Alligator mississippiensis: one gene and its partner. The protein of the gene in region 1 interacts with the protein of each later gene in a pairwise test. Links are inferred from orthologs where the notes say so. Each region holds a gene or a part of one and is shown on either strand. Other genes may lie near its edges. The genes, in order: NFKB1 and TNIP2.

Region 1 (8,166 bases):
CAGAGCAGCTGTTTGCAGCCTCCTGGCTGCAGCCAGCCCACAGAGCCTGGTCTGCTTGCAGCAGGGCTTGCAGCCTCCCAGTCACCTGCTGGGAGCAGGCTGGGCTCCATGGCTGGCAGCAGCTGCTTAGAGCCCAGGCTGGCGGTGGTGTGCCGAGCAAAATGGCCTTGCATGCCATGCTCGGCATGCATGCCGGGGGTTGCTGATCCCTGGTATAGGGCTTTAGCATTAGTATAGTATAGGGTTGTGCTAGCCCTGAATACATGTTTGTCCATTTTGTCTAGTGGTTACCTGCACATTTTGAAAAGAACCAGAGATAGAAATGGTAATTGTGGGACTCCACAAATTGAGGGGTCAAGTATCGGAGATGAAGGTTCCCATCACAGCTCATCAGATGCTTCCCACCCAAAAATATTTAAAGTATTATAGTGCTTTACTTATGACTTTGGGTACCTCTTTCAACCATTTCTTTTGTTTCAATAGATACATTAAGAACACCAAAAACTATTTTTAACAACTTATCTGTCTTTCTTATAGCTCTATATTGATAGAGGAACTGATTCACCCTTGCTTAACATTTCGTACTCAAGTACTGACCCATCATTCTTAAAGGTAGGAATTCAATTTCTTTATTGTAAACATCACAACTTTATCTCCACTTGATGTAAGATTCTTGTTAGAACTACCTAGAAATAGAAAAATGAGAGCATAGTTAATTAAAATATAAAAACTAGTAGTGGAATTGGTCTGGTATTATGCAAATAATAACTAGCCAAACACAATAAATATGCTTAAAATGTGTTGAATATAATGTATATACCCTAGAAACTCTTTGGTCCCCATCCCCCCAACCAAGAAAAGTCTACAGACCTTATTATTCACCCTAATACAATTTGCTCTGGGCCACAGTGATTATGCAAACAAACAGGAAACCTGTTCTAACTCAATGTCTAGTGGTTCTTCTAATATTTCTCTTCAGGTGGTATAAAGTGAGCTAGGCTACCTCCATTTTAAGAGAGTTGGCCCAGCAGGTATGTCAGGGGTGCGGCGAGATCAGGGCCAGGCAATTATTTCGGCAGGAGAGCCGTTTAGTGAGTTTTGGTAAACTGTCAAGGGCCACAAGGATAGCCCCACCCCTTGACAGGTGCCTCGCCCACTGGTCACTATCTTGGAACTGAAAGTCCCATCCCCTAACCCTCTGACCTTTGCCACCCAAAGTCCCTCACCTTCCCCCTGGAAGTACATCTTTTGGGAAGGGGGTTAGCCATCTTGGAACCAGAAAAAAACCCCAAATTATATTTTAAAAATCAAACATCTGCAATAACATATTTTTATTTTATTTTTTAAAAATATTTTTGTCCCGATTTTGTGTGTGTATGCGCTGTGTACATAGAGGTGATTGCATAATAGCTCAAAATGAAGTCTTACTCTTGTATATTGTGGTGGGGGGTGGGGAGGGGTGTGGGGGAGTTGTGTAACATCGACATCAACACTTGGGAGACCCTTGCTCAGGACCAACCAAAATGGAGGAAGGCTCTTTGGGAGGGACCACAACACTTTGAAACAGCTCGTCGACAGGCAGAAGAGGAAAAGAGGAACAGGCTAAAAGGACATCAGAACATCCAACGCAGCAACACAGTGCCCATCCCTCCTGGAAACACCCGTCCTCACTGCAACAAGATATGTGGATTTAGAATTGGGCTATGGAGCCGCCTGCGGATTCACTATTAAGAGGCTTAGAAGACAATCTTTAGCATTTGTGAGTGATCAGCCATCATCATCAGAATATATATTTACTTATATAGAGAGGCATAAATATTTTTGGAAAAAAAACCCATGCAGAAGATCCCTTGCAAGATTGGGACCTTGCGGTCTGATATTGCTTCCTCTGAAGTTAAAGACAAACCATCCATTGACTTCAACAGTAGAGGACTGGGCTGTAAGACAATGAAAGTTATCTTTTTTTTTTAAAGTAAAGTGAACCAAATCCTCCATGGAGCAGGCACAGGATATAAGTTAGAGGCTAAGTGTTAGGGGCTGAAGCTATTAATAATTTTCTTTTAAAACTCAATCTGCTCGGTTTGTTTTAACTCTTATTTCTATGCCATCATGTCTGATGTTCCAGTACTTGTTCATTCAAGTTCTGCCTGTGAGTAGCTGTGACATGGCAGCTTTTCTTTCAACTGAATCTCTCTGAAACATTTCTCATCTTTTAAATCTATATTAAACTCCTTCATTCAGAGCCCTGGGGCCAAAATCTTTATACTGTTTTTACTCCAGTGAATTCAGTGTACTAACTTTGTACTTCCACAAGGGAGTTCAGATTCCTGTCATGGGACTGAAAAACTCCTCAGAATTGATTATTTCTCTTAGAAATGCTAAAACAATGAAAGAGTTTGTGAAAAATTCCATTTTCAGAATTGCATGATGAGTCAAGAGAACAGTTTGAAAAGAGAAATTCAGGGTCTTTATCTGTAAATGATTTCAGTTCCCTTATCAAAAACACAGAGAAAAAAAATTGTGGGTCATGCGGGATTTTTGGAAACAGCCTTGAAAGTAATGCTAAATGAGTATTAGAGATGGGAATGAGCCACAAAATTTGGCTGAGGGAACGCTATCCAAACCCACATCTGGATTTTAAATTTGGTCAACCATAGATAGCCACAAGATTTCAATCCAAACCTCTGCTGAGAAGAAATTATGACACCTTTCCTCCTCTGTACCTTCCTACTGCTGTACCTCTGCAAAAATGTGATTCATCATTGATTGAATGTAGCATTTTGGCTGATTTCTGCTCCGGTTCTGGAAGAGATCCATGTTTCAGTGTTAAAGAGGCAAGATCCACAGTTTTGTACACTGGCTATTAATTCATTGTTTAAAATCTTTTTCCATCCCACTGCTGTACCCAGTCCCCTGCCATGCAGGGAGGGGCACTTGCTCAAAAGAAAGAAAAGTTTATTTCCCTCAAAAACTTCCCACTGTTGCTTGTACTTGCTCAGCTGCACCAGAAGTAAAAGAACCACCCCAGATTTTCAGGAACAGTCCCAAACATCATGGTGGTGCCAAAGCAGAATAGAAACAGTACGATTGGGTCATACTGTGCCCCTGGCTAATTAGCTTTGTCAACGCTGCATGAATGCAGCTATAGTAATTAGCGATGCCATGAAGTGGAGTTAAGTAGCTTGGATACAGAAGAGTGCCATGTAAGTACAGCTCTGCTGCTTCCGGTTCAAGAGGTTTCCCTGGGCAGAGTCCATAACACTCCAATATTGCAGCACATGATTTAAAATAGACTTTTTTTCTCTTTGTGGCAGGAGAGGATTTTCCTGTAAGTGTGGACCAGAAGAGGGGGTAAACCACTTCCAGTTCCAGAGGCCTGCAGAGCATCCTAGATTTTGCTTCATAAAAGTTCATATCAGCATCAAGACCCTCAGTATATTATCAATGATTATTTTTACTTTAAAAGGGCCAGGCAGCTGGGGAGAGAGGGGGGGTCTGTTGTGCTAAGTGCTGTACAAATGTATAGTAAATGCTAGTCTGTGCCACACAGACTATTGCAACCCCAGTTGCCCTCCAGCTCCAATGCCTCTTTTAGCATTTTTTGAGTAGATGATGCTTTAACTGGCACCATACTAAAACGGGTGCAATGTTAGCAACAGTGGGGGCAGTGCCTGCATGTTTTTAAATGCCTAGTACTTGTGCCCTCACACAGCTCCCTTTGAGCTGCAAAACGTGTTTGCTGGGGTGAGCAGTTCCTGCTCCTGTGGAAGCCAGATTGTGTTCTGGGGGGATGTAACCAGCTTCTTCCTCTCTAGGGTTTTCCCTGGGGAGGGCGGGGGGGGGGGGGTAGAGTTTCTCTCATCTGGCACTAGGGTGGCCGTCATAGAGGACAGTCCGGTTGTGCTCTATTGATACAAAGCCCTTTTTGTCCTGTATTTTCCTCCCAAAGAGGACAAATAGAGGACAAAATGGAGCGATCATTCACCAACTGTGCCCTTCACAAACTATGGTTTTATTTGTCGTACCAATTCTGGGCCTCCTTAATTAGGACAAATAGAGGACGTAAAGGTGTATCAATAGAGGACAGAGTAGCAGAAAACCTGAGTGTCCCCTATCCGGCGCAGACTGTTTCCTCTCTGGGCGGTAAGCGACTGGCCCGGGTTTGACTCCCTTCAGAAGAGGCCGGGACACCCTCCCACACCCGGGGAAGTGGAGGTAGCCCGGCTTGAACCCGGGCGGCACAAGGAGCTTGCGGGACCCTGCGGGATCCGGGACGAGCGGCTTTGCCGGGTCGCAGCAGCACCCCCTGAGGCGGTGGCGGCGGCAGGCGTCCTGCCCCCTCTCTCCCCCGGCCGCCGCCTCCGCCGCAGCCGCTCGCTTGGTCTCGAGACGTCAGCGGGAATTTCCAGCCAGGAAGTGAGAGGGGCGAGCAGCTGGGGCCGCGGAGCAGGAAGCGGCGCTGCGCGCACACACTCGGGCACACGGGCACGGCGGCGGGCGGCGCTCACAGGGCGGCGGCCGCGGGTCCCGGCCGGCCGGCGGCGGCGAGCGGCTCATGGCGCGGCGCTGAGCCCGCGACAGACGGGACGGGACGAGCGGAGCGGAGCGGAGCGGAGCGGGGGCCTCTTCCCCGCGCCCAGGCAGGGTGAGTACGCAGCTGTGCCCCGCCAGCGGGGAGCCGGGGTCACTCCGGATCGCGGGCGCGGGGCTGTGAGGAGCGGGGGGGGGGGGGTCACGTTGGCCGGGAGGGTGCCCTGAGGGCGAGGGGGGCGGGCAGCGCGCCCGGCCCGGCCCGGCCCGGCCCGCTTCCTCCCTTGGCGCAGCCCGGCCTGGGGCCGCCCCCGGCCCTGGGGAGGGAGGGGCTGTGCCCGAGCCGAGGGTCTGGGGTTGTCATCGCCGCCGCCTCTTGCTGCTGTGTATGTCTTTCTTTTTGATATTTTTATTTTGTTTTTTGCTTGTAATTGTGTAACTTCAGAAATCCCTGTGTTTAGTTGCTGTGTCATGACGCAATTTGTGGCTGCTGATCCTGGCGGCCAAGATGCACGCAGGGGTTTTCCCCCCTGCCTTCATGGGGATGCTTGTGGGGCTCTTCTGAGCCAGGTGGGAAGAGATGGGCAGGCATACAAAGCCCTGCCAAGGGTAGGGGGCAAATCAAGGGGAGAAGGAAACGCTGGATGTATTACTGGCCTCTGCCTCCTTCCACATGCCCCCCTCAGGGGGTCCTTTCTTTGGGTGGCATCTTCTACTGGACCCACTGTGTCAGTGGGATCAAGAGACACCAGCTTTTGAATATAAGGCACTCTGTTTCAGGTAATGGTCATACTGGCAGGTGGGTCAGGAAAACCAGTTCAAGTGCAGTAGTGGCACCCCTGAAGCCTGCTGCTGGCAAAGCCCAAGTGTCGCACGTGAAATGGAGCAAGCTGTGGTCTTCGCAAACTATGGTTACCTTCGTCACGCCAGTTGTGGGCCTCCTTGATTCACAGAAAACCACTACAGTGCCAGCTGTGTAGATATTCTGCATAAGGGAGGAGAAAAGGGGTGGATGCAAAGTCCTGCCAGGTACAGGAAACAAAACAGCTGAAGTGGATGCATACCACTTTTCCACCCTTTTTCTCCTCCTTTGCTCAGGATATCTATAGTTCTGGCACTGTTGCAATTTTTTTCCCTGTGGATTAAGGAGACCCAGAATTGGTACAACAAAGAAAAGCATAGTGTGTGAAGGCCACAGTTTGTGAACAATTGCTCCATTTTTGTGTGACGTTCTGGCTTTTCCTGCAACAGCCTTCAGGGGCTCTGCTGTTGTATCTGATTTGGTTTTCCTGACTAACCTGCCAGTTGAAAGTATAACTGTGACTTAAAGTGGGATACTTTGTGTTTTGAAAGCTTGTCTAACTGTATCCCAGTGATGCAGTGTGTCCAGTAGAAGATGCCTCCCAAAGAAATCTGGGCCTCTAGTGTAACTGTAAACATTGGTGGTGAAGTAGCATGGGAAAACCCTAATAGTGAGCGAGAACCATGAAAGGTCTCTGTTGCAAATACAGGGAAGATTACAAGCAGTTTTACAGCTGGTAGCTGGCAAGGGTTTAAGGGCATCCACAGTACTAGATAGAAATGAAATACTCTTTCCATGATGGAGACTAATATCTGACACTTTGTTGCTATTATAGCTGACCCTAACACATGGAAGGTTCAGTTCCACATTAGTTTTTCTGCTCTGTCATTAAATGTTTTCTTCATTTGAACATAAAGACACACACACAATTTTATGTTCAAATGAAGAAAAAAAACTTAATACTGCTTCCTCCAGGACAATGGCAAAGCAAGAAGAAAAAAAAAAAATGCAGAACTGAACCTTCCAAATATATAAAATAGATATTATTTCTTTAGCCTGGACTCCATTTTGTATACAAATACAGGCAATGGGCCTGATCCTACAAAAGCTTTTACATGTACAACTTTATTCACATGTTTAATTGTATACCCGTGTAAGTGTTTGCAGGATTGGAGCTTTACAAATAAAACCTGTCTGTTAATTCAAAAGCATATTTCTGTTTTCCAGTTTAAAAAAAAGTTAAATATTGAAGACACAAATCTTTACAAAAAAGTAAAGTTTGAGAAGAAAATAGAGATGTTATTTAACATGGCATAGAGCACAATAAGCTTCGATTAATTTGTCACTGGTTTAATTTGCCCTTTGGTTCCCTTCTCCCCCTGTTATCCAGTTCTAAAAGTTGGTCATTACCAGATAACTTGTCATTATTTCTATTCACATTGCAGTGACAAGTTAATTAGAGTTTACTGTAAATAGGAGTATTTAACTGTATGGTTTAAAAAAAAAAAAAATCCCTTTTATTGTTTTCTCTATCATTTTCTTTCCAAGACAGAAATCCGAACAGATCTTAGAGAGCATGATTCTTCATTCTGGCACATCAGATTTACACTGAAATAATGGAGTTAAAAATATGGCCTTAACATTTTTTAGCTGTTTGTTTATTGTTTTTTTTTGAAGTTCTTAAACTTTTTTTTGCTGTGTATTACAGATTCGTTTAGCTTTGTAAACATACTAGTCAGAGTTACTTTCTCTGGGTAAAAACCCATACTTTTGTAATTTGAAGAGAAGATAAAACTGTTCAGATTTGGTTCCCTGTAATCTATGTTAATGAATGATCAGTAAGTTAGTTGCTAAAATGCTGGAACAAAGCACTTTATAAAACCTGGATGCAGCCTCTCAACTACTATAAAATGTTATAGTTCAGTGACAGTGATCTCAAAGATAGTGAAATTATGACAATATTGACCAGCTAGGGATCTTCACATAATATTTTTACATGTGAATTTCCTTTACCCCTCTATTACCTTTGGTTTATTGTTTGCAAGACTGAGTAATTTAGTTATAAAAGGTTTTCAGTTTAACAAGAGAAAAGCCTTCCTTTCCTGTCCACACTCCCATTGAAAGAAAATGATCAACAGTAAAGTCAGCACAAAGTAAATTAATTTCACTAAGAAGTAATGAATAAACACTAAGCTGTTTAAGATAATGAAACCAAGAATGTGTTTTTCATTTTGGTTGGAGTTGCTTATCTGAAAAGTACGGTCTTCAGAGAAGTAATCTGCAACTGATAGAGACTGTTAACTACAAAAAAAAAAAAAAAAGTCAACAGAAGACGAGTTGAGCCATTTTAGAGTGGAAAAAGTGCTTGTGATGGAAAACAGAAAATGAGGAAGGAACTGAAAAAGCCATGGAGAGCACTATTTTAGATCCACCTTTCTAAATGTTCCTACTTTTTCAGTGCTGATTAGCAATTGTATCTTTACAAAGAACTTCAGATCTCAAAGCCAATGTTAAATGAATACTGGAGGTTTTGTGAAAAGTAAAGTTCAGCTTTCTGTTACATTGTTTTAATTACTTCCTATATGTCACTGCCTTATACAAGCTCCATGGGAAAGCCCAGAATGTGTCCTTCAGTGTACCTAGTAACACTATCTCCAGAGCACAGAACTGGAAGCTTTTGAGTTTTGAATGTTAAGAGGGTTATCAAGCATGTTCAATAATGATTGAGATTCATAAGTTCAGTTATGAACTCAGGGCCAAGTTCTTTCTTTTAGATGATACATATCTAATCTTACCATCATGATGGAGGTTGAAAAGAAAGCTGAAAAAAATAT
Region 2 (8,418 bases), about 140 Mb from region 1:
GCCTGGCCAGGGGTGACCCCCTGGCCCTGTTGGCTCCATACCGGAGTCCCACCTGCCCCTGCAGCGGAGGTTGCAGGCTTTTCCACCCCCAGAAGAGGTTTGTTGGACTCTGCCTTTGGGGTGGAAACCTTGGGGGCTGCGGGAAGCTCTGTGGGGGCATCTAACTCCCCCCTGAAGGTTCCTGCCCTGCCATTGTTTCACATGAGAGCAGGAAAGACAATAAAGAAAAACAAAATATCCCATGGGGCTGGTGAATCTAGTAGGTGCAGGCTGGGGTTGTGGGACAGAAGGGGTTTAGAGAGGAAGGGAGGAAAGGGGTTGAAGCTCACTGAGCCACAGCCCCACAGGAAAAAAATGGGAGGCCTATGCTTTGAGAATGGAGGCGGAGGGGGGGAGGGGGGAGGGGAACAAAAACAAAAACAACCACACACACAAGGGCTGGGGAAACTTGAGCTAGCTTACTCAGCCACACAACAAACACCAGGTCAGAGGGAGTGGACCACAGGACTTACCACACAAGGGCAAAAAAGCATACAGGGAAGGCTGCTAAGGCAGGTGTAAAAGATGGCTGGAGCAGTGAAGGGGCTTTGTTTGTAGAAGATCTGTCCAGAAACCCCTCAGGCCTCCAGCCAGTCACTTAAAAGCAGAGCAGTCAGCAAGAAGACAAATCAGGATCAGATGCAGTGAGGTAGCTGTGTGGGAGGGTAGGAGCAGCCAGTCAATTAGGAAGTGATCCAGTGCAGGTATGGTGTCAGGTGGTGCAGCAGGGAATCTCCCTCTCTCCTGAGAGGGGGCAGCAGCAGAAACAACAGCAAGAGCACAGGTGCTGGCCCCAGGCTGCAGATCTGGGAGGAGCCAGGCAGGCCCAAAGTGGCACAATTTGTCCCACACCAAAGTTCATGTCTGACAACCTGCGCTGAGACAAAAAACCCTGGCTCAAATTTGCACCACTTCTATTTGAGCTGCTGCAAATGCACGTGCTTGCATGTGTATATGTACCCTATGAGATAGGAGCTTAAATCTCTGTTAGAACATAAACTAAAAAGTATCCAGACAGACAGGGAAGCCCATCTGCAAAATTTCTTTCTGGTACAATGGAACAGATTATGAGCAACCTGAGTGCTACAGATGATAAGTTTTGGATGCCTGGAAGTATGTACTGACTTTAGTGACATAAGTACATTTTTACTGCTTTTTAATCCCATTGGCCCAGCAGAGACAACAATTAAGGAATCACAAGCTGTTGCTTATTCTTTTACCTCATAGCCTCCACAGGATTGCTTTTTAAATTCTATCAATTATACCTCTGTAAATCAATTCTGGAAAATAGGGTTGCACAGGTATCACTGAGGGCATAATTTGGTAATTTTATTACAGGGGATGGTATGCAGGAAAGAAAAAAAACATTGAGCCTGGCTTTCTGAATTCAGGTTGCATGTGCATGACTTGCAGTCAGAAAAACATGATTTCTTGCAAACAGAGCACAGCTGATGCATAATCACAGAGACAGATGGAACCCTGAGCTGCTATTTTTACAGGCTATTCAAAGAATCACAATTAAAAAATCTTGGCATGTGTTTTGATATCACTTACGATAGTGTAATGTAAGTATAACTACCGACTTCAGTACAATTATTCTCAATTTACATTAGTAAATTGGAATCAGTTCACTATCAGCAGTGCACTTTAAAAAATATTCCTGTACTGTATTACAAATTTATTAAAAACCATTAAAAACAAATTTAATAAATGCTAAACTAATTTATGTTAAACTATGTTACACAGAACTGTGCTACTTTCTTTCCCCATTTCCCAGTTAAAGTAGACTTACTCTCGTTTTTGTTTCTAGTGAGCTTCTAGTTAGTCATTTTCTGTTTATTGTGAACTGTGACACTACTATTCATGGGCTATGACAAGGTTTCGGTGGCAACATTCCTGGGGAATGTTTATTTATTTAAAAATAACTTTTGATTGGAATTTTTTGAAATGTCATGGTAACATTTTATCCATCATTATCTGAAGAGTAAATATTGGTTTCTACAAAACCTATATTTGAGGATGTTTGCGGATAAATTTTAGTCAGCTTTTCTCATCAGGAGGGGGACCACAGTCCATGTCCATGTCAGATTTTCAGGTGAAGCTGGTAACATGTAATAAAATAAAATAAAATAAAATAAGGGTGTCTCATCATATAGAGGGGTTGCAGTGAGTGCCTTGAGTTCACACACTTACTGCTACTGAGAAGCATGCAACGGACTATATCAGCATCTCATTGCATAAAACTGAAAAGCACAAACATGCAATGCAGTAGACCATGAAAAACCTCAGAAAAAGTATCTGGTAACTGATATGCCCAAGGCAATCCAGGAAAAGCCAGGTACAGTAACAGAAATGAATGTTAAGTGCTGACTCATTCTCTAGCTTCAGCTTCTTATTACTGAATTCCTAGGCTGTTAAGTCTGAATCCTAGTTTTAACAAATGGTGATAGTCATCCCAGGACCATTCCAAGAACTTACGGAATCAAACTCTTACTCAGGACAAATTCCCCTTGAACTTAATAGTATTTTCCTTGGGTGAAAGCTGGCAGGTCTCACCAACACTATTGTAACCTAATAATCAAATACAATATTTAATATGTTTATATTTTATTTCAAATAAAAAACTATTTCAAATTCCAATCAAATCAAACTTCCTGTTTGATTCTTAATCGGTTTCAATATTTAACATATTAAAATAATCTGCTGTTTAAATAAAGTGTAGAATATTTGTATATTATTTGGGTTAGCGGGATTCAAGGCCTACTCTAAAATAATAATACGGTAAATTCTAGGCTTGTGTTTTCTTTCACGCTGCCTCTCAATTTGTAAAAACTACAAAGTACCTTATCGTTCCTACAATGTTACCTTAAAATAACTTCGGTTGAAAAAAAAAAAAACTGTTTTCCTTCCAAAGATAAGGACTTAAATGTTACAGAAGACCGAAAATAAATGCTTCTCTAATAAGGGTCAAGAATTGTAATTTCCATAACCTTTCATTCTAATAATATTTCAGTGACCATGATTAGCACTATAAAGATATTCATGATGGTACTAAATAATTTATTGGGATAAACATTAAATGCATTGTAAATCTGCATCTTGAGCAAATGTCTTATACTTACTCGTTCCAGGGGTCTTCTTTCCCGTAAGTGTTGTTAATACATATGTACCTGTTTGTACCAGTACAGTATTTTGAATGTGTTTAGCAACACTATTCTGATGAAGCTTGAGATTCTTGCTGGCAATCTTTGAGACAAAAGAATGACGTAATTCCTCCACTTTGTCTCATTGCTAACCCAAATCCTAAAGTTTCTTTCTGAAGCACCAAATGCTGGCATCTTTACTCCAGTTTGCACTGGTGCAACCTCCCTTGTTTGGAGCCATTGCTTCACTGCCAGGGGTTAAGCTTCATAGTGCTTTTCAAAGGACTAGATAGGCTGCTGTTTCATCCAGAATACACTGCCTGCTGTCCATTTGCTCACACAAACGTCTCCTAGGTGTTTTCAACATTTTTAGCCTCAAAGCTCGAGAACTAGTGGTTGAGAGGTTGCGAACTAGTGGCTCTTAACCTTTTTAGCCTCGGGGCACCCCTCAGGAGATTTGAGGTGCCCCTCGATAGATTTGAGGCCCCCCTTGGAAAATGCCAGCTCTCAGCTTTCGCTCGTTCTTTGAGTGCAGACAACTACTAGAGCAATTCTTCCTTTGCAAAGACCTCAGGAGAGATCCCAGGTCAACATGCTTTTGATGCTGCAGATTCCTCGTCCGTCACATGAATTGTGCCATTACACCGAGCACCACTAGTGCTGCGTGGCAACCTGCGGCACCCTTGAAAGGATCTCAGGGCCTCCCGTAGGCATTTCCTTTGCAGCAGCCAAACTAGGTGTGCACTGGGTGAGTGGATCTCAACCTTTCTAGACTGGAGGCAACCCTGGGAAGGCTGGGGGCACCTTGGGAAGTGCCAGCTCTTAGCATTCACTATTCTTTTTGTTTACAGAAAGGTAATAGAGGAGTTTCTCAAAGACTGGAGGAAGACCGCAGCAACCAGTTCCTATTTGAAGACTCTGGGGTTATCCCTTCTGCGCGCCTCACAGCGTGGCCTTGAGGGCCCCAGGTCCCACGCAGGCTATCAGCTTATGTCCTGGGAGGCGTTTGTGTTGTAGACGGGCCCATATGGAAGATGCAATGACCCTAGAACATAGCTCAGTGTTAAAAAACTTTATTTCTTCAACTTATTAAAAACTCCTTCCTTCTTCTACTTATGCCTCTAAGGGGCTCCAAAAGACTCAGGGCCCCAAAAAACCTAAGGCCACCTTGGGAGGCGTTCAGGGCAGCCTGGGGCACTGAGCACCAGGGGCTACGAGTGGCCTCCCCTGCCTGTGTCCCGCGGGGTCCGTGCGGGGGGGCCCGCCCATCCTGCCACCAACGGTCGTCGCGCGACACCCCACAAGGCGGGCGACAGTTGACACGCCGCCGTTGAGGTGGGGGAGAGGTGACCACGCGCGCTGCGCCTGCGCACACGCGGCTCCCCAACCGTCGCGAGCACTTCTGAGACGTCACAGTTGAACAGGAGCGGGAGACGGAGAAGGGGGGGGGGGTCCTCGCGCACTACGCCTGCGCACACCCCCTTCCATCCTTCGTGAGCTGCTCCTACAGGCGGGCGACGGTTGAGGCGTCACAGTTGGGGGGGGGGCAGGGAGTCCTCGCGCACTGCGCCTGCGCACGCCCTCCGGAAGGGGCGGGGGAGTCCCGCGAGGAAATTCCCGCGAAGACGGCGGGTCCCGCGAGGGTTTCGCAAGGCCGGGCCGCTCCCCGCTCGCGTCGAGTCGCGGCCGGGCTCCGCCCCGGGGCGGGCGGGTTGATAAGCGGCGCGGGGTGGCGGCGGCGGCCGAGGCCCCATGCGGCTGGCGGGGACCCCGCTGGCACCGGCAGACTTGGAGCAGCAGCAGCGGGCGCGGGGCCGGGCAATGGGCGAGGGCGGCGGCGCCGAGGCGCTGCAGGAGGCGCTGGAGAAGCTGCAGCGAGAGAACCGCAGCCTGCGGGCCAAGGTGCCGCGCTACCACGCGCTCTGCGGCCTCTATCACGAGGCCGGGCAGCAGCTCAAGCACCTGCAAGTGCAGGTGGCGGCCAAGGACGCGCTGGTCCGGGAGCTGCGGGCCGGGCTGGCGGGGGAGGCGGCGGCGGCGGCGCCGGCGCGGTCGCTGGTGGACAGCCTGGTGGAGCAGCTGTCTCAAGTGAAGCAGCAGCTGCGGGAGCGCGACCGGGCCGCGGCGCAGGAGGCGGAGGCACGGAGCCAGGTAAGGCTGGGGCTGGCTGCACACACCTGCCAGGGAGTGGATGCGCCTCCTCCCAGGTGTCCCTCAGGGGCACCCCTGCACTTCAGCCTTGTAGGAAAGGGGCAGTTTCCAGGCAGCATCGCGGGTAGGGCAGCGCTGGCCACAGTCGAGCCAGCTTGAGAGCAGCACAGTCTGCTGTACCTGGGACTTTGGCACAGGTGGAGGGAAAGGCGTACGTGTAAGGATGGAGAGAGATGAGACATTGCAGTGGGAACAATGTGCAGGTCCTTGGGGCCAGTGCTTTTCTACTGAAGTATTTCAGCAGGATATCTGAGTTCTTCCTTGTCTTTTAGGTGGCTTTCCTATTAATTTTTCTTTCCCTGACACCCTTGTACACCAGGATTGTATCTTAGCTGTAGTGGGTTGCTTTAAGTTGAAACAGCGGGTGTTTGCATTTTCCTTCTTCCTGAGTGAAATGGCTTTGTTTCCAGCTGCCTGGACAAACGAGGACTTTTTAGACCCTTGCCGATCAGCTCTGGTTACGGATATGCTCAAATATTCTCAAGGGAACATTTTTAAAAGTCCCTTTTCCTGTCTGAAGCTGCACAAAGGAATTTCCAAATCAGAAAATGCTGCAAAACGAAACAATCTCTTGACCTAATGCTTGAACAAGAACATTTCCCAAGCACCACAGACTTTCAAATGCACCACGGATGAGTTCAGGTTTTGAAACTTGCAAATGATCCCTCTGGCACTCTTGCCTGACTATTATTTGAGTTGAAGTCATGCCTCAAACTGCCTATTAAGTGTAAACTTAGCACAAAAAAATCCCCCATCTCTAGAGAACCTTTTGACCTTAAAATGGACTTTTTGGATTTATGAATTCCATTTGCAGTATCCCCTTTTCTTTCAAGTGATCACAGGCCCTGTTTCCTTGCAGATTCTATATTGTAATGATTGCATTCTTTTAAAGCGAATGTACACGGTGGTACTAGAATACTGTTCCCAAGCCAAGATACTGCTTCTACAAAGATTCATAATGATGAAGCTTAGAAACAAGAATATCTACTTTTGTGTCTTCGTTGCACTCTTCCACAATGTTAAGATTTGAGTTCCTGAAGAACCATCTGGAATTGGTATACCTCTGTTTCCTTTTCCCGCCCCAAGGGTACATACACTTGCTGATTCTGGAGGAGCTGTGCTCCACAGGCTTCCTTCACAGCTGCTGTCCTTCAGCCTCTGAGTGTACAGGAAGAAGGGATGTTTAGGTGACTGATTTAGTCACCATTGATGTATGCCAAGCCTCCTTGACACTTGAATACAGGATGATGCCAGAAGAGTGGCTGATGATCCTCATGCTGCTGACAGATCCCTGCCTCTTCAGAGCTAGTGCAGAGGGACCCCATATGTCAAAGGAGATGAAAACTTACAGTTCACTGAATCCCTTGTTGGCATGAGAAGCTTCACACAGTGTCTGCTCAACTATGGCTCATCTAGGAAAGGCCATGCTTGCATGATGTTGGGGGTTTGATTCTGTCCACTTGTCTTTACTGCCAATTCTCCTTCAAGTTTGTAGTGTTCTGTTTCATTTTACTTCTAAGAAATGTGGCAGTGTTGCTGCCTGTAAATAAGTGGATTTGTACCCCAGGGTTAGGCACAGTGCTTCCTCAGTACTATGAGGAGAGGTTTAAAATCCCTAGTTTGATGCATTCCCTTAGACTACCTTGTAATCTGGGTAATGGGAATAGACAGTTTCTCTCTTAATTGGTCTTGTTACCTTACCTTACCTGTTGTCATTCCTCTTTACTCTGTATTTCATGCCCTTCCAAGTTTCCTTAATAATCTGTATTTGTTGCTTACATAATACTTGAGTGTTGCTGGATGTGGTACGTTTTCCATTGGGGAGGTGGTGTGTGATGGTTCTCCCAGTGATCCTCAGCAATCCAGACTCTTGTTATTTTATATTCTTCCCAGAGCCAGAAGTGGATCTTTTATTGTATTTTAAATGTGGGCAGATTACCATAGGCTGGTGCTATTGCCTTAAAACAGATTATTTCAGTGTTTGTGACCCAAGTTATTCATATAAAGATAGTGAACACCATTAATACTAATTCTGATGTCTCTTACCAAAAACCTAAATATGTTTAGAAAATGGTCATTACTAGTCAGTTCAAAATACTAAGAATCAGTTGTCCTGACTTACTGACAAACTACAGTGTGTTTTAAGAAAATGGAATACAAATGCAAAACCTAATGTGTGTCCATAAGTAAGAGGTTGGAAACAGTTTGCAGTTAAGTTTTAGGGGTACATCCATTTCTGCATACCAGTCACTTTCTGGTCTAGAGTATGTCTAACCATATGCATACTAAAATGAAGGAGGAAACTGGAAAAAGCAGTGGTTCATTGACCAAGTCCAGCTCCATGTTCAAAAACTTTATGGAAAAGGTTTTTTTATATAAATGGTATTTAACCATTTATATTACTATGGCTGACATTCCTGAATAGACAATTTTAAAATTTAAATAGTTGTGGATTGGGGTTTTGGGGTTGTTTTGTTTGTTTGTTTTTTTTAGGTCTCTGACAAATACACTAACTTCTTTCTGCTTAATTAGGAAGTGCAGCAGCTGAAACAGCAACTGGAAGAAAAAGAAAGAGAGATGCAGCAGATTGTAAGCCAGCCTCCGCATGAAAGGGAGAGAGAAATCTTAAGACTCAAGAGAAGCTTGGCAGAAAGAGAAAAAGTCCAGGCCACTAGTGAAGTACTGTGCCGTTCTCTAACTGATGAAACTCACCAACTTCAGCGTAAATTGGCGTCAACAGCAGAAATGTGTCAACACCTGGCAAAATGTCTAGAGGACACACAGAAAAAAGAGAGAAGGCATTCCAAGGAACTGATTCCTATTGAAAGATCCAGTCAGGTACACTTAATCTATAGAACTTGAACTGTTGGCTTTCAGAACTGAAGGGTAAAAACTGTTCTTACTCATTTTTCTGTCTTAACAGTCAATGTCTTTATCCTTTTATCTTTAATAGCTAGGCCACAGTTAGCATCTTTTCCTAAATCATGCATATTTGCATGTGCTTAAACAAGTGAATGGATCCTAG

The links.
Region 2: the proteins of NFKB1 (region 1) and TNIP2 interact in binary tests that used the Homo sapiens proteins (3 or more experiments, as listed by UniProt). The link is inferred for Alligator mississippiensis from reciprocal best matches to the Homo sapiens genes NFKB1 and TNIP2.

Annotation. Positions count from the first base shown.
Region 1 is NC_081825.1:163,075,681-163,083,846, forward strand, and holds the start of NFKB1 (nuclear factor NF-kappa-B p105 subunit), read left to right. Parts: upstream 1-4,481; 5' UTR 4,482-4,645; intron 4,646-4,898; exon of another isoform or gene 4,899-4,916; intron 4,917-8,166.
Region 2 is NC_081825.1:20,605,673-20,614,090, reverse strand, and holds the start of TNIP2 (TNFAIP3-interacting protein 2), read left to right. Parts: upstream 1-4,835; 5' UTR 4,836-4,934; coding exon 4,935-5,333; intron 5,334-7,925; coding exon 7,926-8,231; intron 8,232-8,418. UniProt on the Homo sapiens protein: Inhibits NF-kappa-B activation by blocking the interaction of RIPK1 with its downstream effector NEMO/IKBKG.